7 linked regions of the Ovis aries genome follow. The protein of the gene in region 1 interacts with the protein of each later gene in a biochemical or structural test. Links are inferred from orthologs where the notes say so. Each region holds a gene or a part of one and is shown in the gene's direction. Other genes may lie near its edges.

Region 1 (3,500 bases):
ATCAGGGAAGCCCTTCTTGCCATGTGAGGGGTCCTATTCAGGTTCCAGGAATTAGTACTTGAATGCACACCATTATTCTGCCTACTACAATTTGCTTCTGGACTCTGTCACTTTCTAATTGTGTGACCTTGAACAAGTTATTGCACCTCATGCTTAGTTTCTCCATCCTTAGAATGGGAACAATGATAATTCCCACTCCATAGGATTGTTATAAGGATTAAGTGAGTTGATATTTGTGAAATGTTTATAAGTATCTTGACACATAGTAAATACTATGGAAGTGTCTGCTGGCTAAAATATATTAAAATATACACTCTCTTAGCAATTCTATTATTTTATCATATATTTCATAGAAACAAAAGGATCTATGCATGAGGCTACATAAAGCATTGTCCATATTGGGGGGAAATGCACAAACAGGAAATCACTGGAATGCCCGTTAACACAGAGTTCTGCAACACCCTGGGCTGCAGACCCATCCTGGTCGGAACCTATTAGGAACTGGCGAGGAGCAAAGGAGGCTTCATCTGCTGCTTCACATCACTCTCATTACTGCCTGAACCACCCCTTGCCACCCCTTCCCCAACCCATCCCCCCTCCCCTGCACACACCCCTCCCACCCACCCCGTGGAAAAGTTGTCTTCCACTAAACTGATCCAATGCGTTATTAATAGAATGGCTGAGTCAGTGTGGTCCATCTGGAATGTAATGGATCTATTAAATACATTAGTCCATCCTAAAGGAGATCAGTCCTGGGTGTTCATTGGTAGGACTGTTATTGAAGCTGAAATTTCAATACTTTGGCCACCTCATGCAAAGAGTTGACTCATTGGAAAAGACTCTGATGCTGGGAGGGATTGGGGGCAGGAGGAGAAGGGGACGACAGAGGATGAGATGGTTGGATGGCATCACCGACTCAATGGACATGGATTTGGGTGGACTCTGGGAGTTGGTGATGGACAGGGAGGCCTGGCATGCTGCAGTTCATCGGGTCGCAAAGAGTCGGACACGACTGAGCGACTGAACTGAACTGAAGATTATGCTTGTAGACCTAGATGAGGAGTGTCCTGAACAAAAGTTAAATTAGAGGAGGAAGTTACAAAATAATCGTTTAGCATGATCTGATTTTTTTTTTAAATAAACATCAACCTGCCCAAAATTATTGTAGGTATGAGTCAGTTATTTAACCTCTGAACATCTTGATTTCTTCTGTCTGTGAAGTGAGGATAATAATCATTCTCTTAAGACACTCTACGGAGGATTAAGTGGGATGAAATGTTTCAAGTCCTTGGGATTCTGCTAGCAGCAGAAGAGTGTGACTATTTATGTGGAGCAGTTTGAAGAGCCAGAGGTGTGAAGGATGCACCCAGGATGCTCTCCTGGTTGCCTCCGAGGCGGAGAAAAGAAATTCAGAAGTGCTGGGTACTTCTGATGATGATTAACTCTGCTTTAAAAAAAAAAAAAATTTATTTAATCGGAGGATAATTACTTTACAATATTGTGATGCTTTTTTGCCATACATGGACGTGAATCAGCCATGGGCATACATGTGCCACCCCATCCTGAAACCCCCTCCCACCTCCCTCCCCACCCTATCCCTTTGGGTTGTCCCAGAGCACTAGCTTTGGGTACCCTGCTTCACGCATCAAACTTGCACTGGTCATCTAGTTTACATATGGGAATGTACACAGTTCAATGCTGTTCTCTCAAATCATCCCACCCTCGCCTTCTCCCATAGAGTCCAAAGGTCTGTTCTTTACATCTGTGCCTCTTTTGCTGCCCTGCATGTAGGATTTTTGTTACTGTCTTTCTAAATTACATGTATGTGTTAATATACAGTATTTCATGGATGGAGGCTAGCTATTACTACTTTAGTAACTTTTTTTATGTTCCAATAAGTTTTATTGGTAGTTTGGATACTATCCCCATAACCAGAAACACTGAACTGAGAAAAGCACAGATGTAGAAACATACCAGCACTCAAAGTTTTTGTAACTGTTTTGAAGAGGCATTTAGTAAAGAATATTTAAAGAGAAAAAGAAAGCAGGAATCCCCTAAATCAGGCCAACCTTCTGTGTCCGCAGCATCTACTGCCGAGGCTGCTCCAAGCCCTTGTGCTGCTCGTGCGCTCTCCTGGATAGGGACCACGGCGAGCTCAAGTGCGACATCAGCATGGAGATCCAGCAGCGGCAGGATGAGCTGGACACCATGACCCAGGACCTGCAGGAGCAGGACCGCAGCTTCGGGGCAGCGCAGGCGCAGATGCGCTCTGCCATCAGCCAGCTGGGCCGTGTACGCGCCGACACTGAGGAGTTCATCCGTGAGCGCGTGCGCGAGGTGGTAGCGCACGTGCTAGAGCAGGAGCGTGAGCTGCTGGAAGGCGTGGGTGCGCGGTACCAGCGCGACTATGAAGAGATAGCGGGCCAGCTGGGCCGGCTGGATGCTGTACTGCAGCGGATCCGTATGGGCAGCGTGCTGGTGCAGAGGATGAAACTATACGCCTCGGATCAGGAGGTGCTGGACATGCATGACTTCCTGCGCAAGGCACTCCACCAGCTGCGCCAAGAGGAGCCCCAGAGTCTGCGAGCCACTGTGCACACAGACAGCTTCAACGAATTCAGGGTGCGCCTGCAGGGCCTCGTCTCTTGCATCACCCAGGGTAGAGGTAAGCCACCATCACCTCATGGCTGGCCTGTTTACCCTGTGAGGGCTTGGGCCTGCTGATGCCCGTGGGGAAAGGCAGGTGGAAAAGATCAGCCCCATGTGACATAAGAGGAAACTGTGGGGTTTTTATTAAGTCTCTTGGGTTTGATCACATTGTAGGTTACAGAGCGCAGGATAAGTCTGGGGGAGCAGAAGCCTGCAGCCACCCAGTAGGGTCACGTCTGACTGATTTATAAGACCCTAAGTATTAGTTGTGATCTTGTGACTCTCAAGGAAGTTGAAAGTGAAAGTCACTCAGTTGTGTCCAACTCTGCTATCCCATGAACTGTAGCCCACCAGGCTCCTCTGTCCGTGGAATTCTCTAGGCAAGAGGGACTGGAATAGGTTGCCAGTTCCTTCTCCAGGGAATCTTGGCGACCCAGGGATTGAACCCCGGTATCCTGCATTGCAGGCAGATTCTTTACCGCTTGAGCCACTGCGGGAAGCCCCTCAAGGGACTTAAGAAACTATAAAGCTGAGAACCATACCCTGTATCATTTTAGCCCCAGAGGGGCGGACCACTACCACCACCACCACTCCTAACCCCCACCCCCATCCCCTGGTGGGGTGCTTACCCAAAACCAGGCTCAGTGGAAGGGATCTTTTGCCCCTCGGATGGCCTGCCATCTGGACTAGCTGCCTATCTGTGTGGGCCCTGCCTGGTATTGGGAACTGGGGAAGTGAGGAGACAGAGGACCAGTTTCTGACCTGGAGTTGTCCAGTCCGACTGGGAGACAAGGTTGGGGCACATCGTGTGGCTGGAGAATGAGACAGTGCTTGGCTCTGTAGCCCAAATC
Region 2 (4,246 bases), on another chromosome or scaffold:
CATGACCCATAGCAGGAAATACAACTTGTATCCTGGTCCAGTGCAGTTGTCTAGTATATATAACTGAAACAAAGGGTTTATGAAACAATTATTCTAAGGGCAGTGGCATCTAATACTTTCTATTCTAGTACATTTCATTATTTTAAAAAGTTGGTTGCCGTCCACTGAATGTCTGTTATGATCAATTACTGCGTCACGACCCACAGTTTTAAAAACCCTGCCTAAGAGTAAGATCAGGTCTTAAGTTGGGGGCGATGGCAGGCATCCCATCAAAGAACCCAAGACTAGCTGCAGGAGGGGACTGGCAAGCCTCGGGGAGTCTGGAGCGCGTCTGAAGCTCTGTGAGGCAGAGCGTTGAGGAAGGCAGAGGCCTGGGAAACAATCGGTGGCAACCACTCGTCTAGGTGATAGGGGTTGGGGATTAACCCTCCAGACCTCGTAGACCTGAGGATGGGGGCGGAAACCAGATTCCCGCAGGAATCCAGCGAACATCCGAAGGCTGCATTTCATAAGCGTGCGCCGAATGGCTCCCGCATCTCTGACCTCATTTGGGCTTCCAAAGCTCCTCCACTCACTCGAGAGTCCGGGGAGGACCGCGTGCGCCCACTCCTCCATTCATTCATTCATTCCAAACCCATCTCGGGGAGCGCCAACCAGGTGCGAGAAAGGGCGAGCCGTCGGCGGCCGAGGCTTCCCTTCCAGTCGGTTCCCCTCCCGCCCAGCTCGCATGCACACAAAGTTCTGGTGCCACCCCCGCGGACCGGCTCCCCCTTGCCAGTCAGAACCAAAGCGCGTGCACCGCCGCCCGGCGGAGCCGCCTAACCTCCCCGGCTTCCCGGGATCCGCCCCCCACCCACCGCCTCCCCGCACCAGCCCGGCCGCTCCTGCCCTGCGCTCGGCCTTCCCCGCCTCGCATCCGTGCCATCGGCGCTCGATTGCGCGCGGACTCCTGGCTCCGGGCTCGCTCGTCGCTCGCGCTCGGCCGCCGCTCCCGCCCCCGGCCCCCGCCCCCCGCCCCTCCCCCGGCTCCTCCCGCCCCTCCCCCGCCTCCCGTGCAACTTTTGCCGGAGCGCCCCCCTCCCCAACACACACAGCCATGCTGAGCTGAGCCCCGGCCGGGGACTGGCCGCGCGCTGCCCGCCCCGGCTCCCGCCCCACCGCGGACCCGCTCGGGGGCCGCGGCCGCTCGGCCCTCGGCCTCGGCCGCTGCGCCCGCCCGGCCGCCCCCCGGAGCCCCCGGGAGCCCCGCGCAGGGCCCGGGCCGCGGCGGCGGCGGCGGCGGCGGCGCCCGGCCCCCTCCCCCGGCGCCGGCCAAGTGAGGCGGTGATGCGGGCGCTGGCGGCCCCGGCTGCGCCGAGAGCGGAGACACAGGCTCAAGATGGCAGATTCCGACTGAGGCTGGGGGGGCCGAGCTCGCGCGCCGCGATCCCTTCTCCGTTGCCATGAATCGCGGACACCCCGGCCCCGATGGCCCCCGTGTACGAAGGTAAGCGGCGCCCGCCCGCCGACTCCGCCGACCCCCGGCCGCCCGGCCGCCCGGCCCCCGGAGCTTTGTTCTGCCCGCGGCCCCGCGCCGGGCAGCACCTCCCCACCCCCGGCCCGCAGCCCCCCGGCGCCGGGTCCCCGCGCCCCACCCCCGGGGCTCGAACCGGTCGCCCGCCCCCCTCCCCGCCACCCCCTCGGTCGCCCGGCGATCGGCCGGGATCCGGAATCAAACAGATCTTATTTCCAGGATGGAGAAAGAGGCGGGGGGTGGGGTGGGGGGTGTGCGAGGGTGGGCTACTGGCCGAAGAAAAGAAATTGGGTGGGAGGGGGCGCCAGGAAAAAAGACAGACCCGTGACGGTGCTTTTTATTTATTTGTAAGAAATAAAGGTGATGCGGTGTAGCTTTCCATCTCCACCCCCCCCACACCCTAAAGAAAATTACCTTTAGGGTGATCTGTTTCCACTCTCCGTCCTCCCAGCTCCCTTCCCGTTTCCCTCCACTCCCCCCCCCCCCCACCCCCCGCAACACACACACACAAACACACACTCCTTTATTCTTCGCGAGCCTCAGATTTTGGGGGGCTGTCGGATCGGAATGTGCGGGGCTAGGTGATGAGAGGGGGGCAGAGAGGAAAAGTCCATTTCAGAGCCAGGCAGAACAATGAAATAGGCGAAAATCTCCCCGCATTAGCGTGTGTAAGGGAAAATGTAGTTTGGGTTTGCCAGTCGGGGAGGCGGCCAAGACGCTGGTCTCCGCCGGTCTGGGTAAACCTGCGCGGTGCACCTTCACCTGGCGTCGGGTCCTTTTTCTCGTCTGTCTTTAGGAAGAAAGACAAGAACGGAAGGCAGAAATACTCCGTTTCCCCTGCAGTCCCTCTTTCGTTTCTCTTCAGTCAGTTCTGTCAGTTTCCAGCCAGAAATCAAACCGGAATCAACTAAGTTTTTACACTTCGATGTGTGTTTTGTGTGTGTGTGTGTGTGCTTGTAGTAGGAGGGATTTTGAACCAAAGGGTGTTTGATTTTTTTTTTCAGTCATTTTCCTCGTGAAAATGTCTTTCTCATGAAATCATTGAAGTAGCAGCCTTTACATACTTTGAGCGTCAGTCCATCTGGCTTTCTTTCGGTTTTGTTCAGATACCCTGTGGATGAAATAGCAAATGAGAGGAGGCAAGGGTTTGTGCGGAATGAAGAGGAGGGGCGAGGTTTTAATCCTCTATAAATCCGGAGAACAGTCGTGGCCAGTGAGACAGGGAACGCATTAATAGTTTTATCTCTGTTATAAAGGCAGATTAGAAAAAAAAAAACAAAACTTATCTGAAAAGAAAATCTGTTATTAGTTCCAGAGCTCCAAATGAATTAGGTTTCTGGATGGAATAAAGTTACCAGTCAGGCTGGGTAACGAGGCTGTAAATAACCTATGGACTGTAAATATTTTTTTTCAGACTCTCTTAGAAACAAAGGGGCCTGTTTAGAAGGCAACAGAGAGATGTTATTCCAGGGGCTTTCCTCTTTGATTCTGAAGAACACAAGGTCCATTTAACCATTCAACAAAACAAAACAAAATTTCTGATCACTCCACCACACAGAATGGAGCCAGCCCGGTGGCTCTGTGAACATACTAGGAGGACCCAGTCGGGCATTCATTGTTCCTCTGAGTCTCTGGGAGGGGGCTACAGTCAATGCTCCCACTGTCTATGGAGTGTTAAAATGAAACAATTTTCTCTTTATTAAGTACCTCTTTGAGACTCCCTCTGCTGGACACTCCGGGTGAGCATTGGAGAAGGAACTTGGCATTGAATTCAGAACTATAGTAAAACAGGCTGCTTTCCCTTTCTCAAGGGGCTGGGTATGTGGGTTGGGAGGTATTTTGTCAACTTTGTAGAAAGCCGTCCTGGGAACCGTGCTGTTCCCCTCCTGTTCTCCTCATCTAAATCCATACGGAATGTAGGCCATCCCCCTGCGGCTAAGCCTTGGCACTAAGGCTCTTCCTACCCTGCTCTTTTAGCGCATGACACCAGATAAAGACCTGTGGGTGTGGAAGACGTTGTGGTTTAAGCATAATCTCAGATCTCAAAGGTTTCGAGCTCACTTTTTTTATTTGCAAGCCTGCCTTCTGTGTCCCAGCTGACCTATGTGGTCGCTTCTGCCACCCCTGGGCCCCTCAGTCTTGTGTGTGTGCTCTCTTGATCATTCCTGTGCATTGTGCCCTTTGATTCTGGGAGAGTTTCTTCGAATCTTTGTAATTCTTCTCTTCCTCCTCACCCCTTTTGAACCAGTCCAGCATCACTGCCCGAGCTCAGGCCTGGGTCTTTTTTGAAAGCAGCTGTTGGTCATGCTCTAAAGCAGACAGGTGACCCCTCTAATCAGGCATTGCGCTGCGGAACCCACATTTACTTCCTGTGATGAGTGCCTCTAAGACTTCAGTGACCTCCTTTTTCCCTCCTTTGGCAACGCCCCCTGCATTTAGGGAACCTGATTTTTACCACATCCCGGTCGGAGCACATGGACTCCTTGTGTGTATCCCAGAGGAGCAGGGCTTTTCCTGTGGAATTCTCCAAGAGCGATTTCTGATAGTTTTCACCCTTCTAAAAGGTTTGAACCCTGGATTCTTCTCAGGAGAAGGATAATGACAGGTGAGGCATTTAAGCCAGAATTCAGGGGTATATTCATTTATTTAAATAGGGTGCAATTGCCCGAGGCTAGGATTTGATGTAAAGGCCTGAGTGCATTAGTGGAGCATCCTAAACTGCCAGGTATTTAG
Region 3 (4,162 bases), on another chromosome or scaffold:
TCCCCAGAACCACAATTCAAAAGCATCAGTTCTTTGGCGCTCAGCCTTCCTTATTGTCCAACTCTCAACGTCCATACATGACTACTGGAGAAACTGTAGCTTTGACTATACAGACCTTTGTCGGCTTAGTGATGTCTCTGCTTTTTAATACCCTGTCTAGGTTTGTCATAGCTTTCCTTTCAAGGAGCAAGTGTCTTAATTTCATCACTGCACTCACCATCCACAGTGATTTTGGAGCCCTGGAAAATAAAATCTGTCACCGTTTCCACTTTCCCCTTATCTATTTGCCATGAAGTGATGGGGCCAGATGCCATGATCTTAGTTTTTTTAATGTTGCATTTTAAACTAGCTTTTTCACTCTCCTCCTCCTATAGATGAACTTTAGTTGAACTCTTCCCTGTTGGTGTCCCGATTCCCACGTAAATCTACAGCCCTAGGTCTCCAACCACCTCTTCAATGTCCGTTTAGTGCCACAGCCTTCATTTTAAATTGACTTATTCAACTGATATTTCAATAAAAAATAAATTTTAAAAGCAACTTGATTCAAACTGAGCTATTATCCTCCCACCCGCGCTTCCACCCACTGATTTCCACCCACAAAGCCACCGTGTCCTCATCCGAATGGCAATGCCAACACCCACGAGTCACCCAGGACAGAGGCAGAAGCCAAACTGGGAGGGAATTAGTAAAGTAAAGTAGATTTCAAAGGAAATGGAAGGTGTTTGGGTCAGTAAAATAGGGAGTTTTGCACAAAAAATTAAAAGGAGGTGGGCTAGCTTTGGACATCTTGGGCAAACAAGTGGGACGAGGGAGAACGGAGGAGCCAAATATAGGCTTCTGGATTCTTAGCTGTTCATCACCAAGGTAACTGCGTTGCTATGGCAACAGCAAAGGCAGCACCGCCTTTTTCAAGAACTTCCTTCGCTGCGGTTACCTCCACACAGGCCAGACACTTCCGCCTGGGAGGCTTCAGCCCGCGGGCTATGGTTTAGGAAGGCGGGAATTGCTACAGTAGTAGCCAATCGGATGGGCTCTGTGGCGAAGGACGCAAAGGAGGGGTCGGAACTTTTGGAAGCTCAGCAGAGGGCGTTGATAAGGCGAGTTCGCGTCCCTTTCCCACCATTTAGCGGCCGAGGAAAGGAAGAGGGCGGGACCTGGGTGAGGCCGACCGGGGCGGGGCCCAGATTAATGGTGGGAGGCTCCGCCCACCCCCGCCTTTGCTCAATAGGAAGCCAGAGAGTCAGTCCGGACAGTTAGGGTGCCCAATGAGTGCTGTCGCCAAGACCCCGTGCGGGGCGGGCTCAGCCAATCGGCAGCAGCGATGGGCGGACGCGGGCGGCAGAGGCGGTGCGGCGGAGGCGGAGCGGCCTCTGCGGCAGGAGGGAAGATGGCGGACGAGGAGAAGCTGCCGCCCGGCTGGGAGAAGCGTATGAGCCGCAGCTCAGGTGCCGCGGGGGTCGGGGCTGGGACGGGGCCGCGAGGGCCCGCAGAAGCAGGGCTCGAGCTTGTCCCTCGAGCGCGGCAGCGCCGCTCGGTTCCCGTGGGGTCCTGGCTCCTCCGCGTCGTCCCCGGGTAACGGCCCCGGCCCACCCTGTTGGGGCTGCGAGCCTGAGGAGAGGGGAATCCCGAGGAAACTGAGGCAAGGGGCGTGGCCGGGGAGTTCCAGGGTGCTCCCGGGGTGGCAGGGGGATGGTGATCCCGCGGCACTCCCTCAGGCGATGGCCCTGGCCCTGCCGATCTGACTGACATTTTCGTTCGGCCTAATGCACCAGAAGTCCTGAGGGAACGTCTGTGCAACCCGCTGGTCCCAGGGTGGGGACCCCTTGGGGAGGACACCCCAACATCATGCTCAGGGCGGGGCCCTATAGGGTGTTGTTCGGCCTCGGATATACAACCTCCTTCTGCTAATACGCTCGCTACCATCCACACCATATTCTGAGTTTGCGATATCCGGCCGGTGGTATTCTGCCTGAGAACTGCCCTTGTGCTCCGGAACCCGACTTAAGACTTTTCCCCAATAATAATGTCAAGAATAGGGAACGTTTATCTCAGGACCAAGCATAGTTCCAAGCATTTTGGGTGTTTGCTTTCTCTAAATGGTCATAATTTTGGGAGAGAGGTAATTGTTACCCCCGTTTTGCAGATCGGGAAACTTGAGGCCAGAAAACGCAAGGAACCCGCCCAAGGTCATTGATTTCAGGGGGTGGGGGTTGGGTTCGGACCCAGTCATTCTGACTCCAGAGCCCCCTACCCTTCTTGCTGCAAACTACCAAGATGCAGGTTCCAGTATTTCACACTTCTTTCTCCATAGAGCCTAGCAGTCATTGTCGCAGTAATAATTTGATTTTTTGAACATCAGGAGCACTTTGCATACAGCACCATCCACTCTCCACATTAACCCTCTGGAGGTTTGATGTCCTTATTCTCTCATCCCCACTTTTCAAATGAGAAAACTGAGGTTCAGGGAGATGGAACCCATTGCCAGTGTTTTTGAGGCAGTCAGTGGCTCAGCTCTCACCAACCCCCACCCCACCCTGCAGCCTTGACCCATGGATGTGACCTACAATGTAAAGCCAATGCTCTGCCAAATTTGGGGCTCCCACTCCAGCCATTTCAACCCAGTTCAATCCTGACAGTGTTCCCTGAGGGTGACATCCAGCCCTTCACGGTGTTTGGACAAGTCCTCCGTGTAACCCCGGGCAGACTCTGCTCCAGGAATGACACCCTATCTCTACTGGGTCCTACTTCAAGCTTCTTGTTGGCAGCCCTCACTCCATGCTCTTTAGTCTGGATAACATCTGACCCCAGTAATGCTGGACCCCAGTTCTGTAACTGGGTAGGGGAAAAGGACAAAGCTTTTGTGTGTGACACACATGGGTACAGTTTATGCAGCAGAATAAACACCCATTGCTTTGTTTTGGAGGCACTAGTAGCTGACCAGATGCCTCACAGTAACATGTGCATGCTCAAGTCGTGTCCTACTCTTTGTGACCCCATGGACTATCCCACCAGGCTCCTCTGTCCATGGGATTTCCCAGGCAAGAATACTGGAGTGAGTTGCCATTTCCTCTTCCAGAGTATCATCAAACCCAAGATTTTTTTGCTTCCTGCATTAGCAGGCAGATTCTTTACCTCTGTGCCACCTGGGAAGCCCACGGTTTGACCAGAGATGTATTAGTATGTTTTTTGTTACCCAAATGTTACTGACTGGAGTGTCTCAACATTCATTTATAATCGCCAGCCACAGGCGTTAGTTTTTGCAAAAATCCCCCAGTCGATAATGTGTTAATATATGTCAAGTGCTGTCCTAAACTCGTTACAGATGTGAACTCATACAGTCCTTCCAAAAACCATTCAGGCAAGTACTGTTGTTATTTCCATTTTACAAGTGAGAAAACTGAGGCCCGGAGAAGGGAGTCATACAGGGAGTGAGTGGCAGATTTGAACAGGGAGTCTGGCTGCTGAGTGCATGCTTTGAACCTCTCTTCCTCATCTTGGATTATTTTCCCCCCTTGAAGTTGTTAATGACCAAAGTTATTATGTGGTCGTACTTGCTTGTTTATTGTCTGTCTGCCTCCCACCTAGAGGGTTAGCTCCCTAAGTCCTGGTGACACTGGTGGACAGCAGTGGGCTGGCTGAATGAAGGCATCTTGTTGGCCAGTTCCATATCATGGCTTGATGGTGGTATGCACTGAGCAGGTCCCAGCTGAATTCTGTACCCCACCCCCCCTTCTAGGCCGGGTGTACTACTTCAATCACATCACTAATGCCAGCCAGTGGGAGCGGCCAAGTGGCAACAGCAGTGGCAGCGGCAAAAATGGACAAGGGGAGCCCACCAGGGTCCGCTGCTCACACCTGCTGGTCAAGCACAGCCAGTCACGGCGACCCTCGTCCTGGCGGCAGGAGAAGATCACCCGAACCAAGGAGGAGGCCCTGGAGCTGATCAATGGTGAGCTGGGGTTGGAGACCAGGCCTGGGGGAAGGGGGCAGTCCCTCTCCCCAAGGGCAGTGCAAGCTTTACAGAAATCACATGAGATGCTCCACCCCAGCCAGCTTAGCTGTCAGCTGTGGCCTTGGCCGACCTATAAGTGCCTGTTGGTGGCATGAGCCTGGCTTCCATGGCTGCCTCTCATTTTCCTCCCCAGCTGGTGTGTGAGAGTGG
Region 4 (3,500 bases), on another chromosome or scaffold:
CTTGTACTTGGGTGAAAGTAGTCAAGGAATCAGTTTTAGTATTTGAGATATATTGAGTTTGAGTGATTTGGGGACATCCATATGGATCTGAATTCAGAACTTACCCAGGTGGGAGTTAAGAATCCTTTAGTCATTTATATACAGGCGATGGAAAATATGAGATTAAATGTACTTCTCAAGAATGTGTATAGAGAGCATAGAAAACAGAACTTAAGTAGATATGTAGAAATTAGCTTCCATGTTGTACTTGCGTGAAATAAAAAATTGTTTATACCTGAGTTCAACAGTACCATCTTTGTGTACATGATTAAGATTGCAACAAAACTCTTTAATTTCAACATAGAATGTCAGCGTTATAATGGGAATTTTTAAATTGGTCTTGTCTTTAATGGTGGTTCTTTTTTAAAGCTGGAGTACACCACTGTTAACCTCGTGATTTATTCTTTCAGCATCTACTACAAACGACACCAATAAAGTACTGTGGCTAAAGGCTCTTTTGGTTGTTTATGTGGGTGGTAAAAATTGTTTTTTAACTGCCCAGCTTTCAGTTTCAGTTTTAAATTGTCAGGCATAAATGGTGCTGTTTCTACCAGATGTCAGGTATTATGAATAGTTTGTACTGTAGAATACATTTACCTGTAGGCTCTGGCCAAGCATAGATTAAATTTATAAGTGCTTTGGAAAAACAGATGGCGAAGAACTGAATGTAGTTTCTTCTTCCTAAAATGTTCTTTTAGAGTCTCCTCTCCTTTCCAGGGGATTCTCTCAACACACTAGTGTTTTATTATATTGTATGTCTTGTTGGTGCTATAGTTTTAGAGGTAGTAAACTAATACTGTCCCTTGTGGACCAGATATTAAACTATCTCAGTACAGTCATAGATGATTAGTTTCTGAGACTAACTTTAGGCTGACCTAAAACCCAGTGATCAGGACACTGAAGTCACCTACCTCCCTTTTTAATAACATGATACCTTTGAAAGAATTGTACATCAGAAGACTGCCTAGCAAGTATAGAATCAGAAACAGAAGTATAGTGATGTGTGCTTACATATTTCACCTAAACTATTAAAAAACCCAATGTAATATTTCCACTTCACACACACACACAACACAAATACATACCCTTGTAATAACTGAGAGCATATGCCAATCAGGTATATGTTCCAGGATAAACAAATATTTCATAGATTTTGCCTTTCTGAATCATATTGTTTATCCTGGTTACCCTCTTTCTGGCTATTCATGTATATCTCCTTGTTCTAGATAATTAGGTTTCCTGACTGCCTCTTTATATTCCTTTGAATTTTCCTTAGTCCATAGCTAAATGCTTTGTAAACTATAAAAAATAGTAAATATTTGTCAAAAACATAGTTACCGTCTTCACTGAGGGGCACAGATTCTCTCTTTTCCTCCGTGTTGATACAGTGTGATGGTTATGAAAATCCAAATATTTTAGTTCTAATTATTTGTCAATAATTTGTTTGTGGCATTTACTTAGTAAATTAACACCTGAATCTCTACATATGAAATACAAATGAAATGCTGGAATGAGCTTCTAAAAATATTGTCATCTTCTTTTCTCCCTCCTACCCCCATTCCTGTAGGTGTACCAACATTCGGCCAGGAGAGACTGGAATGGATGTAACAAGCCGCTGCACCCTTGGAGACCCCAACAAATTGCCAGAAGGGGTTCCCCAACCTGCCCGCATGCCCTATATCTCAGACAAGCACCCTCGACAAACCTTGGAAGTGATTAACCTTCTGAGAAAACACCGGGAGCTATGCGATGTGGTGCTAGTTGTGGGCGCTAAGAAGATATATGCCCATCGAGTCATTTTGTCAGCCTGTAGTCCCTACTTCCGAGCTATGTTTACAGGAGAATTGGCAGAGAGCCGTCAGACGGAAGTAGTGATCCGAGACATAGATGAGAGGGCTATGGAACTACTGATAGACTTTGCATATACCTCCCAGATAACTGTGGAAGAGGGCAATGTTCAGACCCTCTTGCCAGCTGCTTGCCTCCTCCAGCTGGCAGAAATACAAGAAGCCTGTTGTGAATTCTTGAAGAGACAATTAGATCCTTCAAACTGCCTGGGCATTCGGGCTTTTGCTGACACACATTCATGTCGTGAGTTGCTAAGGATAGCAGACAAGTTCACTCAACATAATTTTCAAGAGGTAAGTTGTACTTGGTGGTTTGAATGCATCCACAATGTATTTGTTAGGAGAACGATATAGTATATCAGGTTATTTGTTAAGCTAATAATCAGAAAAATGAAATTAGATGTTATCAAAGAATTTATTAAACCTATTATTTTTCATTTATTCATTCATTTAATAAATATCTGTGAAGCTGCTATACTTCCACCTCTGTGCTTGGGAACAGAAGCTACAGTAGTGAACAAGATGCCTTGAGTGTTTGTTCTAGTGGAGACTTATAATCTGGCACAGAAGACAGCTACTGAATTCATAATTACATAAATAATTAATTAGAGTTAATGAGTGCTACAAAGAAGCCCTGGATAATTTAACAATGTATTACAGAGAGATTTAACTTTGGTTCTGGAACAGTTCATCCAAGATTCTGAGACATGAAAAAGCATAACAAGTTTGAGGAACTAAAAGAAACCCAATGAGATCCAGAGAGCAATAAAGAATGTTACATAATGATTTTACAGAAGAAACAGGGCCAGATCACATTGGAGTTAATAGACCATGTTAAGAATTTGAAATTTGATCTTAAGACCAGTAGAAAACCATTAAAGGATTTTAAGCAAAGGAATGGCATGTCCATTTTATTCTTTAGTATCACTTTTCTGTCCAACAGGATAACGTCCGGTGAATGGATCCAAAATTTAAAAAATACAAACTGAAACCATGAAAATAGTAGAAGATGACACAAAACAATTCCTTTTGAAGAGGTCTTTCTAATTGACTAACCCAGAAAGCATAGAAGAAAATATTGATAGATTTGACTATATAAATATTTTAAAATTTTGCATGGTAAAACAATAATGAGAGAAAAAATTAAAGACAAACTAAGGGAAAACATTTGCAACTCATATTACAGATGATATCTCCTTACTATATCAAGAGCTCCTTATTGGTCAATAACCTAGGCCAGTGACCTAAAAATGGGTAGTAAACAAGAAGTTCAGATTGCCCTTAAACATGAAAATCTGCTCAGGTTTGTTCACAATAACAGAAACATGAATTAAAACTACACCAAAGTACTATTTTTTATCTACCAGATTACAAATATCCAGAAGTTTGGTTACACACCCTGTTAACAAGGGTGAAATAGCTAATTGCTGCTGCTGCTGCTAAGTCACTTCGGTCGTGTCCAACTCTGTGTGACCCCATAGACGGCAGCCCACCAGGCTCCCTTGTCCCTGGGATTCTCCAGGCAAGAACACTGGAGTGGGTTGCCATCTCCTTCTCCGATGCACCAAAGTGAAAAATGAAAGTGAAGTCACTCAGTCCTGTCAGACTCTTAGC
Region 5 (3,321 bases), on another chromosome or scaffold:
GTAAGACCTTGACCTGTCTGGAGCTGGGAGGGCGTGACAGTGGGGTTGGAGTTTGGGCAAGACAGCCTGCGTCTCTCCCCTGCCTCTCAGCTACGTGGTCCTGGACCTGATGGAGAGCGACCTGCACCAGATCATCCATTCCTCACAGCCGCTGACACTGGAGCATGTGCGCTACTTCCTGTACCAGCTGCTGCGGGGCCTCAAGTACATGCACTCGGCTCAGGTCATCCACCGCGACCTCAAGCCCTCCAATCTGCTGGTGAACGAGAACTGCGAGCTCAAGATTGGGGACTTTGGCATGGCCCGTGGCCTGTGCACCTCGCCCGCTGAGCACCAGTACTTCATGACTGAGTATGTGGCCACTCGCTGGTACCGCGCCCCCGAGCTCATGCTCTCGCTGCATGAGTACACGCAGGCCATTGACCTGTGGTCCGTGGGCTGCATCTTTGGGGAGATGCTGGCCCGGCGCCAACTCTTCCCAGGCAAAAACTATGTGCACCAGCTGCAGCTGATCATGACGGTGCTGGGTACCCCGTCGCCGGCCGTGATTCAGGCTGTGGGAGCTGAGAGGGTGCGGGCCTATATCCAGAGCCTGCCACCACGCCAGCCTGTGCCCTGGGAGACGGTGTACCCGGGTGCTGACCGCCAGGCGCTCTCCCTACTGGGGCGCATGCTACGTTTCGAGCCCAGCGCCCGTGTCTCCGCAGCTGCTGCCCTCCGCCACCCCTTCCTGGCCAAGTACCATGACCCTGACGACGAGCCTGACTGTGCCCCGCCCTTTGACTTTGCCTTTGACCGCGAAGCCCTCACGCGGGAGCGCATTAAGGAGGCCATCGTGGCGGAGATCGAGGACTTCCACGCACGGCGCGAGGGCATTCGCCAGCAGATCCGCTTCCAGCCTTCCCTGCAGCCTGTGGCCAGCGAGCCCAGCTGCCCCGACGTGGAAATGCCCAGCCCCTGGGCTCCGAGTGGGGACTGCGCCATGGAGTCCCCTCCACCAGCCCCACTGCCGTGCCCTGGCCCTGCGCCCGACACCATCGATCTGACCCTGCAACCGCCCCCACCAGCCAGTGAACCAGCCCCTCCAAAGAAGGAGGGGGCCATCTCAGACAACACCAAGGCTGCCCTCAAGGCTGCCTTGCTCAAGTCCTTGCGGAGCCGGCTCCGAGGTGCCTGGCTGGGGAATGGGGGGCAGAGGGGGAACCCCTGCCTGGACTGACTCTTACCTTACCTTCCCATCCTCCTCACAGATGGCCCCAGTGCCCCCCTGGAAGCTCCTGAGCCTCGGAAGCCGGTGACTGCTCAGGAGCGCCAGCGGGAGCGGGAGGAGAAACGCCGACGGCGGCAGGAGCGGGCCAAGGAGCGGGAGAAGAGGCGGCAGGAGCGCGAGCGCAAGGAGCGGGGCGCGGGGGTCTCGGGGGGCCCCTCCGCTGACCCCCTGGCTGGGCTGGTGCTCAGTGAAAACGACCGCAGCCTGCTGGAGCGTTGGACTCGCATGGCCCAGCCCCCTGCCCCCGCGCCCACAGCCCGGCCCCCCAGCCCTCCCGCTGGCCCTGCCACCCAGCCCACTGGGCCCCTGCCACAGCCGGCCTGCCCACCCCCTGCACCTGCAGCTGGCCCTGCTGCTCCCCAGACCACTGCCACCTCCAGCCTTCTGGCCCCCCAGCCACTGGTGCCGCCCCCTGGGCTGCCCGGCCCCAGTGCCCTGAGTGTTCTCCCTTACTTCCCCTCTGGCCCACCCCCTCCAGACCCCGGGGGGGCCCCACAGCCCTCCACATCGGAGTCACCTGACGTCACCCTGGTGACCCAGCAGCTGTCCAAGTCGCAGGTGAGAGAGAGGCCTGGTCGTGGGGATGCCTGGGTCTGACGCGGGGGAGGTGGGCTCTGAGGTTGTTGAGGCCAGAGCCTAATGCTGACGAGCAGATTGTTGGAGACCCCAGCCCACGCTCAGGGTTTTTTGAGGCTGGCGCTGTCACCGCTGCTGTCCAGGCCCGGGCATGGGTGGGGCTGTATCATGGCCGGGCACCCTGCCAACCTCAGTCTGCTCTTGGTGGTGCCTGTGTTGTGAGCTGCCGTCATCCCCTGCAGGTGGAGGACCCTTTGCCCCCCGTGTTCTCGGGCACCCCCAAGGGCAGTGGAGCTGGCTATGGTGTTGGCTTTGACCTGGAGGAATTCCTAAACCAGTCTTTTGACATGGGTGTGGCTGATGGGCCACAAGACGGGTAAGAGCTGGGTCTGACGTTTTGAGTTGGGCTGTGGGTCCAATGGGGCTCTGGGTCCGGTGGGGCTCTGGGTTTGGTAGGGCTGTCGGTTGGGGCTCCCTCTGCAGGAGGAGCCTCTCACCCTGTCTCCCCGCCGCACCCACAGCCAAGCAGACTCAGCCTCGCTCTCAGCCTCCCTGCTCGCTGACTGGCTCGAGGGCCACGGCATGAACCCTGCCGACATCGAGTCCCTGCAGCGTGAGATCCAGATGGATTCCCCCATGCTGCTGGCCGACCTGCCTGACCTCCAGGAGCCCTGAGTCCCGCAGTCCGTGCCTTGCTGCCAGGGGCAGACCCAGCTCCGAGATCTGCAGGACTGTCCTGCTGGAGCCCTGCGCCCGGTCGGGGAATCAGCTCAGATCATTCTGCAGCTTCATCTCAGACCCACCCTGTGGCCTTAAGCAGCCACCTGAGCCAGCACAAGCCACACCAAGAGGGGGAGCCCCTCCCCCAAGCGATTCTTTTCAGTATCATAATTTTATTATTATTATTATTACATTATTATGATGACAGTTTTTTTGCCCTCGGAAGGTTGCCTGTGAAATACAAGGTCTCCTCTAGTGCCTGTCTCCAGGGTGTGTTTTCGGAGTCGAGGACAGTGTGCCGTCATGGGGGCAGGCAAAGGTATCTGCGTGCACAACAGTAAGGCCGGTTCGTTCAGGTCCTGAGGTTTATTGAGACCTCCACTCCCACCTGCTCCCAGCCCCACAGAGGTGGTCCTCTGACCCTCGCACAGTCACACTCACCCCCGGGGCGGGTGGGGGGACCTCACATCTGCGCCCGCCTTGGCTGTGGCGTTTTAGGGTGGCCTGTGGGAGCTGTGGCGAAATACAGTTTGGGTGTTGCGCTTCAGGTGCCTGGGTCAGGCAGGCAGGGGGCCGCTGAGCATGAGTGCAGTGGGGCCGGGCCGTGGTGCTCACGCCAGGGGAACACGGGGGTGGGAGGAGGGTGAAGGGCCAGCCAGTGGGACTGCTGGGGTAGCCTGGCAGATGCCAGGAGAGGTCTACAGGCTCGGCCGGCAGAGGCCGCGGTCAGGAATCTGGCTAAAGTGGGACACAGC
Region 6 (4,147 bases), on another chromosome or scaffold:
AACCCACGACTCCAGACTTCGGTATTCTTTCCACCGTACACTTTCGTCCCTAAGGGGCGCGGGGTTGGGGGAGGAGAAGAATAACCACCACTGAAAAGGAACCACTTACATGGGTCTAGCGCTTCCTAGAGGCTACACAGGATATGGGCCCACCCCCCAGCCGGGAGCGGAGAAATTTTAAATCTTTATTCTACTCACTCGCTGCGTGACTTTTGGCAAGTGTCTGCTGCTCTCGGACTTGTTTTCCCGGAAGCAAATCGGGGCGGGAGGAGTGGCGTGTGCGTGTGTGTGTGTTTGTGTGTACATGTGATGTGCGGTGTGTCTATGCATGTTGTGCGGGGGCGGAGAGTAGACTATCACCGGGGTTCCCCGAGTTTCGGATTCTCCAAACGCTCGTTCAAACTAGACGCCGAGTTGCCCCTTAAATCCACCTCCTGTAAGAAACCTTTCCGAGGCAAAGATGCGAACCCCCGCACCCTTTCTCCCACGGTCGGGAGGGTGAGGTGGGAGTGCGGAGGGGACTTAGCCGAACACCCAGTTTCAAGCAATGCAAATCACTGGACTTCCAGACAGAGCCAGACAGTCGCTACTGAACTTGACCAGGAGACAAACTTCAGGGCATTCTCAACGTGGGGGGCCGACTCTCACGAACTGCCCCCAAATTTAAAAGCCACTTTCACTCGCCCCCACAGGGGACTTAACAGAGCCACCTTAAGGGCGGTGCTCCCGCCCCCCGGAAGTGCGGGGGGGCCAGGAACCCAGGCGCTCAACGGGCCCGGCCCGCCCCGAGCGGCGGCGAAGTGCCCGCGGGTGACATCGAACCCCCAAGTGGGGAAATACCACCCGCCCCGCGCCCTCGGCCCCAGACACCTGGCTCGGTTCCCCTGGCCTCCTGGGTCCTAGCATCCCTGGCATTCCCATCCGAGCCCTAAACTTCAGCCCACTTCCCTCAGAGGCTGGGAGCGCCGGAGTCCGCCCGGCTCGCGGCAGCCACCGTCACTAGACAGTCAAACCCCAAGACGTCAGCCCACAATGCACCGGGCGGGCCGGGAAAGACGCGTCGGGGAGGGAGGGGGAAGAGAGGGGCGCGAGTCGCGCGGAGCGGGTTGGGGGGAGGAGGAGAAAGAAGGGCCCAACTGTAGGAGGGCAACGGAGCATTACCTCATCCCGTGAGCCTCCGCGGGCCCAGAGAAGAATCTTCTAGGGTGGGGTCTCCATGGCGACGGGTGGGCCCGCCCCCCTGAGAGCGACGCGAGCCAATGGGAAGGCCTTGGGGTGACATCATGGGCTATTTTTAGGGGTTGACTGGTAGCAGATAAGTGTTGCGCTCCGGCTGGATAAGGGCTCAGAGTTGCACTGAGTGTGGCTGAAGCTGCGAGGCGGGAGTGGAGGTGCGCGGACGCAGGCAGGCAGACAGGCACAGTCAGTCGAGAAGGACAGCAAATCCTATTTTCCAATTTCTCTCCAACTGCCCGGAGCTAGCGCTTGTGGCTCCCGGCCTGGTGTTTTGGGGAGCGCCGGGAGAGCCCCTTCGCCAGCCGCCCCCAGGCGGAGAGCCCCGCTGCGCGGGCGCTGCTGACAGCGCGGAGAGCGGCCACTGTCCGCCCGGGGAAGTCCGGAGAGCGGCTGCAGCGGCAAGAACTTTCCCGGCCAGGAAGACAGGAGACAAGTGGCCGCCGGGTCCCGGAACGAACTTTTGCAAATCTTGCCTCCGCCCGAAGCTGCCGCGGCGGCGGTGAAGAAAAAGAGGCGGCGGAGAGAGGAGGACGTGCGCTCCGCTTCGCTCGCACCGGTTGCTGAACTTGGGCGAGCGCGAGCCGCGGCTGCCGGGCGCCCCCTCCCCCTCTCAGCGGAGGAGGGGACAGTCTTCCGAGTCGGGGCGGCGGACACCCGCCGCCGGCAGGCAAACGCGGGGTCCGCGCTCCCTGCTATCACCGGGAAGCGAGTTCGTCCGCGGGCTCTGAGGAACCGCTGCGCTCGAGAGAGCTCCGTGAGTGACCGCGACTTTTCAAAGCCGGGCGGCGCGCGCGAGCGGACAAGTAAGAGCGCGGGCGGCGTCTTAACCCTGCGATCCCCCGGACCGAGCTGGTGAGGAGGGCGCCGGGGGCGGGGGCTGCCAGCCGGCGGGGGCGCGCGCTCTTCCAGAAACTTTCCTTGCTCACTGCCCGGGGAGGCGCGGGTGTCCCCCGCTTGCCAGCGCGCTGTTGCGGCCCCGAAACTTCTGCGCGCAGCTTAAACTAAGCCCACGCGAAGTGACGGACTGTTCTATGACTGCAAAGATGGAAACGACCTTCTACGACGATGCCCTCAACGCCTCGTTCCTCCAGTCTGAGAGCGGCGCCTACGGCTACAGTAACCCCAAGATTCTGAAGCAGAGCATGACCCTGAATCTGGCCGACCCGGTGGGCAGCCTGAAGCCGCACCTCCGGGCCAAGAACTCCGACCTCCTCACCTCGCCCGACGTTGGGCTGCTCAAGCTGGCGTCGCCCGAGCTGGAGCGCCTGATCATACAGTCCAGCAACGGGCATATCACCACCACGCCGACCCCCACCCAGTTCCTGTGCCCCAAGAACGTGACGGACGAGCAGGAGGGATTCGCCGAGGGCTTCGTGCGCGCCCTGGCCGAACTGCACAGCCAGAACACGCTGCCCAGCGTCACGTCGGCGGCGCAGCCGGTCAGCGGGGCGGGCCTGGTGGCCCCGGCGGTGGCCTCGGTGGCGGGCGGCAGCGGCAGCGGCGGCTTCAGCGCCAGCCTGCACAGCGAGCCGCCGGTCTACGCCAACCTCAGCAACTTCAACCCCGGCGCGCTGAGCAGCGGCGGCGGGGCGCCCTCCTACGGCGCGGCTGGCCTGGCCTTTCCCGCGCAGCCCCAGCAGCAGCAGCAGCAACCACCGCAGCCGCCGCACCACCTGCCCCAGCAGATACCCGTGCAGCACCCGCGGCTGCAGGCCCTGAAGGAAGAGCCGCAGACGGTGCCCGAGATGCCCGGGGAAACGCCGCCCCTGTCCCCCATCGACATGGAGTCCCAGGAGCGGATCAAGGCGGAGAGGAAGCGCATGAGGAACCGCATCGCTGCTTCCAAGTGCCGGAAAAGGAAGCTGGAGAGGATCGCGCGGCTGGAGGAAAAAGTGAAAACCTTGAAAGCGCAGAACTCGGAGCTGGCGTCCACCGCCAATATGCTCAGGGAACAGGTGGCCCAGCTTAAACAAAAAGTCATGAACCACGTTAACAGCGGGTGCCAACTCATGCTAACGCAGCAGTTGCAAACGTTTTGAGGCGAGACTGTCGGGGGCTGAGGGGCAACGGAGAAAAAATATAAATAACACAGAGAGACAGATTTGAGAACTTGACAAGTTGCGAGAGAGAAACAGAGAAAAAAACAAAAGTGTCCGAGGACTAAAGCCAAGGGTATCCAAGTTGGACTGGGTTGCGTCCTGACGGCGCCCCCAGTGTGCACGAGTGGGAAGGACTTGGCGCGCCCTCCCTTGGCGAGGAGCCAGGGAACGGCCGCTCGCGGGCTGCCCGGGTTTGCGGACGGGCTGTCCCCGCGCAAACAGAACGTTAGACTTTTCTTTAACGTTGACCAAGAACTGCATGGACCTAACATTCGATCTCATTCAGTATTAAAGGGGTGGGGTGGGGGAGGGGGTTGCAAACTGCAATAGAGACTGTAGATCGCTTCTGTAGTACTCCTTAAGAACACAAAGGGGGTGGGGGAGGGGAGGCGGGAGGGAGGTTTGTGAGAGCGAGGCCCAGCCTGCAGATGAGCTCTTTCTGGCCTGCCTTCCATAACTGTGTATGTACATATATATATTTTTTAATTTGATGAAAGCTGATTACTGTCAATAAACAGCTTCATGCCTTTGTAAGTTATTCATGTTTGTTTGTTTGGGTGTCCTGCCCAGCCTTGTTTGTAAATAAGAGATTTGGAGCACTCTGAGTTTACCATTTGTAATAAAGTATATAATTTTTTTTATGTTTTGTTTCTGAAAATTCCAGAAAGGATATTTAAGAAAATACAATAAAATATTGAAAAAGTTACCCCTCCCCCAACCTCTTTTCTGCATTATCTATAGATTACTTGTCTAGGTGGAGTTGAAAGAGTTGAGTGTCAATTAAAATCACTGTGGGTGCTTCTTACTAGCAG
Region 7 (4,102 bases), on another chromosome or scaffold:
CACTTTACGCATGGTTGCCTCCTAGAAATAGAGACAGAATATAATGCAAATCAACAGATCTGTGGAAAAATTAAGATGGACAAAAATGACATGGACCAGGTATGTTCAATACTAATAGGCCTTAGGTCCTAAGTATAAAATGTCAGCATATGAAGTGATACATACTATCTACTTTCATACATTTGACAGGACAAGATATCCTGAACTCAGCAAGCATTTTCTCCAGCAGCTGAAAGGAGCTAAAGGCTGGAGGCCTCCAGCTCAACCAAGTCTGACCTGACTGTGGCTGTCATCTGGGTCTAGAGTGCTTACTCAGAAGCATTTCTCCAAGACTTCTAGATGGGCCTGGGTCCTGAGGCCCACCAAGCTGAGGGACTTGGTGACAAGTCTAAATGAACAAATGTATGCCTTCTCATTATTTTCTTTTAAAAATATAGAATAAAGGTTAATCAATTCACTCCCATGAACAACAACATGGTCATCTAGTTCTTCAGAGAGCAGAATCCTGGGATGGATCTCCAGATAACTTTCCTCACACCTCCTGGAGGAGTGTTTCAAACTCGTCCATCGTTCTGGAAGTTTCCCCACTTTTCCAGAGTCTAGCCTAAGCCAATCCCAAGCTGTCCCCCAACCCCCACCCCCCGGCCCACCTTTTCCCCAATAGCCAATCATGCATGATAGGCTGCAAAGAGCACAGGACTGCAAGTTAAGAAACTTGTTTCCTAGTCCCAGATCTGCCATGTACTTTATAACTTTGGGAAATGATTCCACTTCTCTGAAACTCGTAGACTAAATGATGGCCAGTAACCTCTACAAGCACTAACGTTTTGTGATTCTCGCTAAAACGTGAATCTTGCCCGGCCTAGATTTAGCTCAGGTCTACATCTGTCAAGGTGGCCACCGGTTCCTGCAGTTCAAGAGCCAGAGAGAGAAGCTGCCATGGAAACCAAAACGTGAGCAGAAATCGCCGAGCGGAACCAGAAGGCGGCGGGTAAGGGGGCCAGAGGGAACAGAGAAAAGCGAAGGACGATGGGCACACTAACAGTATTCTAATAAGGAGAAGGAGAAAAAGCCCAGACTGAAAGAGGAAATTATGACTACAGTCTTAGATGAGTCCCTTGGCGTCTGAGGCCTCGCCACACTGCGCAGGCGTTCCGCGGGTCTTCAACTCTGCTCTTTGACCTCTCGCCCCACCCCCTCCTCCTCCGCAGCCTCGGAACAGCTCTTCCGGTGTTGTGGAGGCGGTTCCGGTTCGCGGCGGTTCCCGGGTTTTGCGTTCCGCGCCCGGCCGGAAACCCCTTCGCATAGCAGCCGGTTCCGGTTCGGTGAGTGGCGGCGGGAAGCTGGGGGAGGGGTGAGGATGGAGGGAGCCTTGACCGGGAGGCAGAGCGGGCCTGGGCCCGGCAGCCTGGGCTGGGCTGGACGGAAGCGGGGACAGCTGTGGGGAGTGCGCTTTTTCCTCTGCCCCGCCCCCTGGGACCACCTCTCCCCCCTGCTGTCCGAGGCCGCGATCTGGCGGGTGGCCGTTAGTTAGCTTTCCCGGGGCCGTTCCTTGAGGCCTCTTTCTCCGGGGTCGAGGAGAGGCCGTCTCCCTACGGTCACGGCCGCCCCATCTCAGCGCCTAGCCCTACTCGTGAGGAAAAGGCCGGTTGGGATTTCGGGGCTTTCCCGCCAGAGCAGGTCTCTCAGGGGAAAGCTGTTTTCATCGGGAAGCTCAGCTTTTCTGTTATGCGTGCTTCACCTCCCGCCTTCCTTGAGGCTTGAAAGATATTTCTCGACTACTTCTGCGTCTCATGTAAACATTTCTCCAACTCTTTTACTCTGTGGTGTCTCCCAGAGATGTGATACCGCTAGTGCCACCACCAGAAAGAAACGTCTGGACCCTCCTGCCCAGGTTATGAAAATCCCCTTAACTGCCGCCGTTTGCTTACCTGGCTTATCGCCTCCTGGTAAATTCCCTCGAACCGTCTCTTTCTTGCCGTCCCCTATAACGTGATCTCTCTGGATATATACCCAGTTTCTCTTGAGCTTGGTGATTTCTGTTTATCGGTGCCTTTGCAGTATTTCCACTATCTTGTTGGCAGTAACTCGCTGCTTTATCACTTTCTCGTCAGCCTTGTTAAAGTCATTTCACCTCACGTTTGTTTGCTTTTTATATTTGGGGTGGGGGTGATTCTTGTGAAATTTATGCCTTTTAGAGGCCCCCAACTAATTAACTTAGGGTCCTTCTTCCAAGTGGGTGATTTTGGATGATTTTAGATCGTATCACCTCCTAAATCTTTATAAAGATAATTTGTGTTAAGGGCTTCTGTTGAGAGATAGGTTACACTGAATTTGGAATTACAGTTACAGTGAAACTTTAAGCATGTCTTTAAGAATGATCCGTTAACCTGCTAGTTTAGAGATTCCCTTTTCTCCTTTAGTCCCATGTTGGAACCCTCATTTGTTGTGGAGAAGCCTCACTCACTCTTACTTAATTCCAATTAATTATCCCAACTGCAAAGATGGTCTTCCTGTCACCCATCTGATGACAGATCTAGAGGCAGCAAATGAATTAAAAACAGGTTCTTCTACCTCAAGATAAGGTGATGTAATTCTTGACTACTGCTTTGGAAGTCTTTCCTTTTCTATACCTGACTCCTACACCTTCTACCAGTTGCACCAGCTTTATTACCTTGTTTTAAGTATCTGTTGATGAATCTGGTTTCCTCCCTCTGACAGATTCTCTGCAGCAGGGACCAGTTCTTCCTCATCATTGTATCCCCAGTCCACTCTGTGTTATTGGTGCACAGTAAATGTGTGTGTGTGTGAAAGAAAGTGAATCTTTTTTTTAAGGATTTTAAGGTGTTAGAGTCTAATTTGAGTGATGCCTTGTAGAAATATGAAAGACAACCAAAAATTGCATAATGATAGAGTGCAGACTGTTTCATATACATAATTTTCCAGAGTTTGTAATAGGATGATTCACATGATCACTTCCACACCCTTGTCATTATCAGAAATTATTCTTACTACATCTTGGTCCTGCAAAAAGCTAATTGTACAGTGCCTCTCCTCAGTATATACTTTCAGATAGCTTCATGGTAGCTCTAAATGTTCACTTTTATAATCACCTCTTTGCATGTTTGTCTTACTATGCTCATTACGTCCTGTTATTGTCAGGACTTTGCCATCATTTTTTTTTTCTTTCAGATTTTTTGTTATCTTGTGCTCAGCCGTTTATCTGACTTCAACTGAATACCTGTAATTACTTGTTTTTTTCATAAATTAAATGACTGATGTGAAGTAGAAAATGAAGCACTAGAATACTCTTAGAAGGAAAAATTTCTCATGCTTGAAAGAATTTGGTGACATCAGAAGTTCCAGGTCCAACATTTCATGTTGAATCTTGGGGCAAAATATCCTTTCTCCCATTATACTTGCACAATGGCAAAAAGAAAATAGCATAAGCACACCAAAGAAGCTCGATGTGCCTGGGAAATCCCATGGATAGAGGAGCCTGGTGGGCTTCAAGCTGTAGGGTCGAAAGAGTCAGGACTTGGCTACCAAATAGTAGCAGCAGCAGCGTAAAAAATGGGTGGATTCCCCAAATTTAGCTAGAGATTACTTTTATCTTGCCCAAGTGTATGAATCCTTCAATAAGGATATGTTGAAGGATGTGAATATTGTGATGTTTGTTGAAAGAGCATCTGCTTATAAGTGAGGATGCCTAGATTTTTGTCTTTCCTTTGTCCCATCTTTGTGATTTCAGGCAAGTCACTAAACCTCTCTGGATATAATTGCCAACGTTCTTTGATTTCTTGCTTGCTTCCCTTTCACCTCTATCTCAGCAGTGCAAAGGAGGTTAACATGGGATTGTTCCAATGGGCACCAGGCTTTTAAATTGGCATTACTTTTAATATAACAAAAAAGACTAGTGGTAACTCCTGGCCCGTGGGCCCTCGGAACTGGGGCAACTAGGGGACAGGAAGAAAAGAGAGGCAGAGTGTCCTAGAGATCATTGGAAGTGCTGAAATGATTGGACAGTAGAAAATGAGAAAATATTTTAAAACTAACCCTGAAATAAATGTCCCCTCACCCCTCCCCACCCAAGCCAAACAGG

Evidence for each region.
Region 2: of the proteins of PML (region 1) and HIPK2, one has a biochemical effect on the other in vitro, tested with the Homo sapiens proteins (2 studies listed by BioGRID). The link is inferred for Ovis aries from reciprocal best matches to the Homo sapiens genes PML and HIPK2.
Region 3: the proteins of PML (region 1) and PIN1 form a complex in vitro, tested with the Homo sapiens proteins (2 studies listed by BioGRID and IntAct). The link is inferred for Ovis aries from reciprocal best matches to the Homo sapiens genes PML and PIN1.
Region 4: the proteins of PML (region 1) and KLHL20 form a complex in vitro, tested with the Homo sapiens proteins (3 studies listed by BioGRID and IntAct, with this or other methods). The link is inferred for Ovis aries from reciprocal best matches to the Homo sapiens genes PML and KLHL20.
Region 5: the proteins of PML (region 1) and MAPK7 form a complex in vitro, tested with the Homo sapiens proteins (2 studies listed by BioGRID and IntAct, with this or other methods). The link is inferred for Ovis aries from reciprocal best matches to the Homo sapiens genes PML and MAPK7.
Region 6: the proteins of PML (region 1) and JUN form a complex in vitro, tested with the Homo sapiens proteins (2 studies listed by BioGRID). The link is inferred for Ovis aries from reciprocal best matches to the Homo sapiens genes PML and JUN.
Region 7: of the proteins of PML (region 1) and SENP1, one has a biochemical effect on the other in vitro, tested with the Homo sapiens proteins (2 studies listed by BioGRID). The link is inferred for Ovis aries from reciprocal best matches to the Homo sapiens genes PML and SENP1.

The regions. Positions count from the first base shown.
Region 1 is NC_056071.1:32,252,370-32,255,869, reverse strand, and holds part of PML (protein PML), read left to right. Parts: intron 1-2,084; coding exon 2,085-2,665; intron 2,666-3,500.
Region 2 is NC_056057.1:104,675,499-104,679,744, reverse strand, and holds the start of HIPK2 (homeodomain-interacting protein kinase 2), read left to right. Parts: upstream 1-1,446; 5' UTR 1,447-1,467; coding exon 1,468-1,486; intron 1,487-4,246. Other genes in the region: putative HTLV-1-related endogenous sequence, read left to right, coding at 779-976, 1,095-1,446.
Region 3 is NC_056058.1:12,284,522-12,288,683, forward strand, and holds the start of PIN1 (peptidyl-prolyl cis-trans isomerase NIMA-interacting 1), read left to right. Parts: upstream 1-1,362; 5' UTR 1,363-1,387; coding exon 1,388-1,445; intron 1,446-3,736; coding exon 3,737-3,949; intron 3,950-4,162. UniProt on the Homo sapiens protein: Peptidyl-prolyl cis/trans isomerase (PPIase) that binds to and isomerizes specific phosphorylated Ser/Thr-Pro (pSer/Thr-Pro) motifs.
Region 4 is NC_056065.1:54,477,008-54,480,507, forward strand, and holds part of KLHL20 (kelch-like protein 20), read left to right. Parts: intron 1-1,606; coding exon 1,607-2,180; intron 2,181-3,500. UniProt on the Homo sapiens protein: Substrate-specific adapter of a BCR (BTB-CUL3-RBX1) E3 ubiquitin-protein ligase complex involved in interferon response and anterograde Golgi to endosome transport.
Region 5 is NC_056064.1:33,839,276-33,842,596, reverse strand, and holds the end of MAPK7 (mitogen-activated protein kinase 7), read left to right. Parts: intron 1-90; coding exon 91-1,169; intron 1,170-1,250; coding exon 1,251-1,828; intron 1,829-2,088; coding exon 2,089-2,222; intron 2,223-2,367; coding exon 2,368-2,521; 3' UTR 2,522-2,821; downstream 2,822-3,321. UniProt on the Homo sapiens protein: Plays a role in various cellular processes such as proliferation, differentiation and cell survival. The upstream activator of MAPK7 is the MAPK kinase MAP2K5.
Region 6 is NC_056054.1:33,493,864-33,498,010, reverse strand, and holds JUN (transcription factor Jun), read left to right. Parts: upstream 1-1,347; 5' UTR 1,348-2,267; coding exon 2,268-3,275; 3' UTR 3,276-4,041; downstream 4,042-4,147. UniProt on the Homo sapiens protein: Transcription factor that recognizes and binds to the AP-1 consensus motif 5'-TGA[GC]TCA-3'.
Region 7 is NC_056056.1:138,490,660-138,494,761, forward strand, and holds the start of SENP1 (sentrin-specific protease 1), read left to right. Parts: upstream 1-1,302; 5' UTR 1,303-1,897; coding exon 1,898-1,949; exon of another isoform or gene 1,950-2,003; intron 2,004-4,102. Other genes in the region: PFKM (ATP-dependent 6-phosphofructokinase, muscle type), read right to left, coding at 1-12. UniProt on the Homo sapiens protein: Protease that catalyzes two essential functions in the SUMO pathway.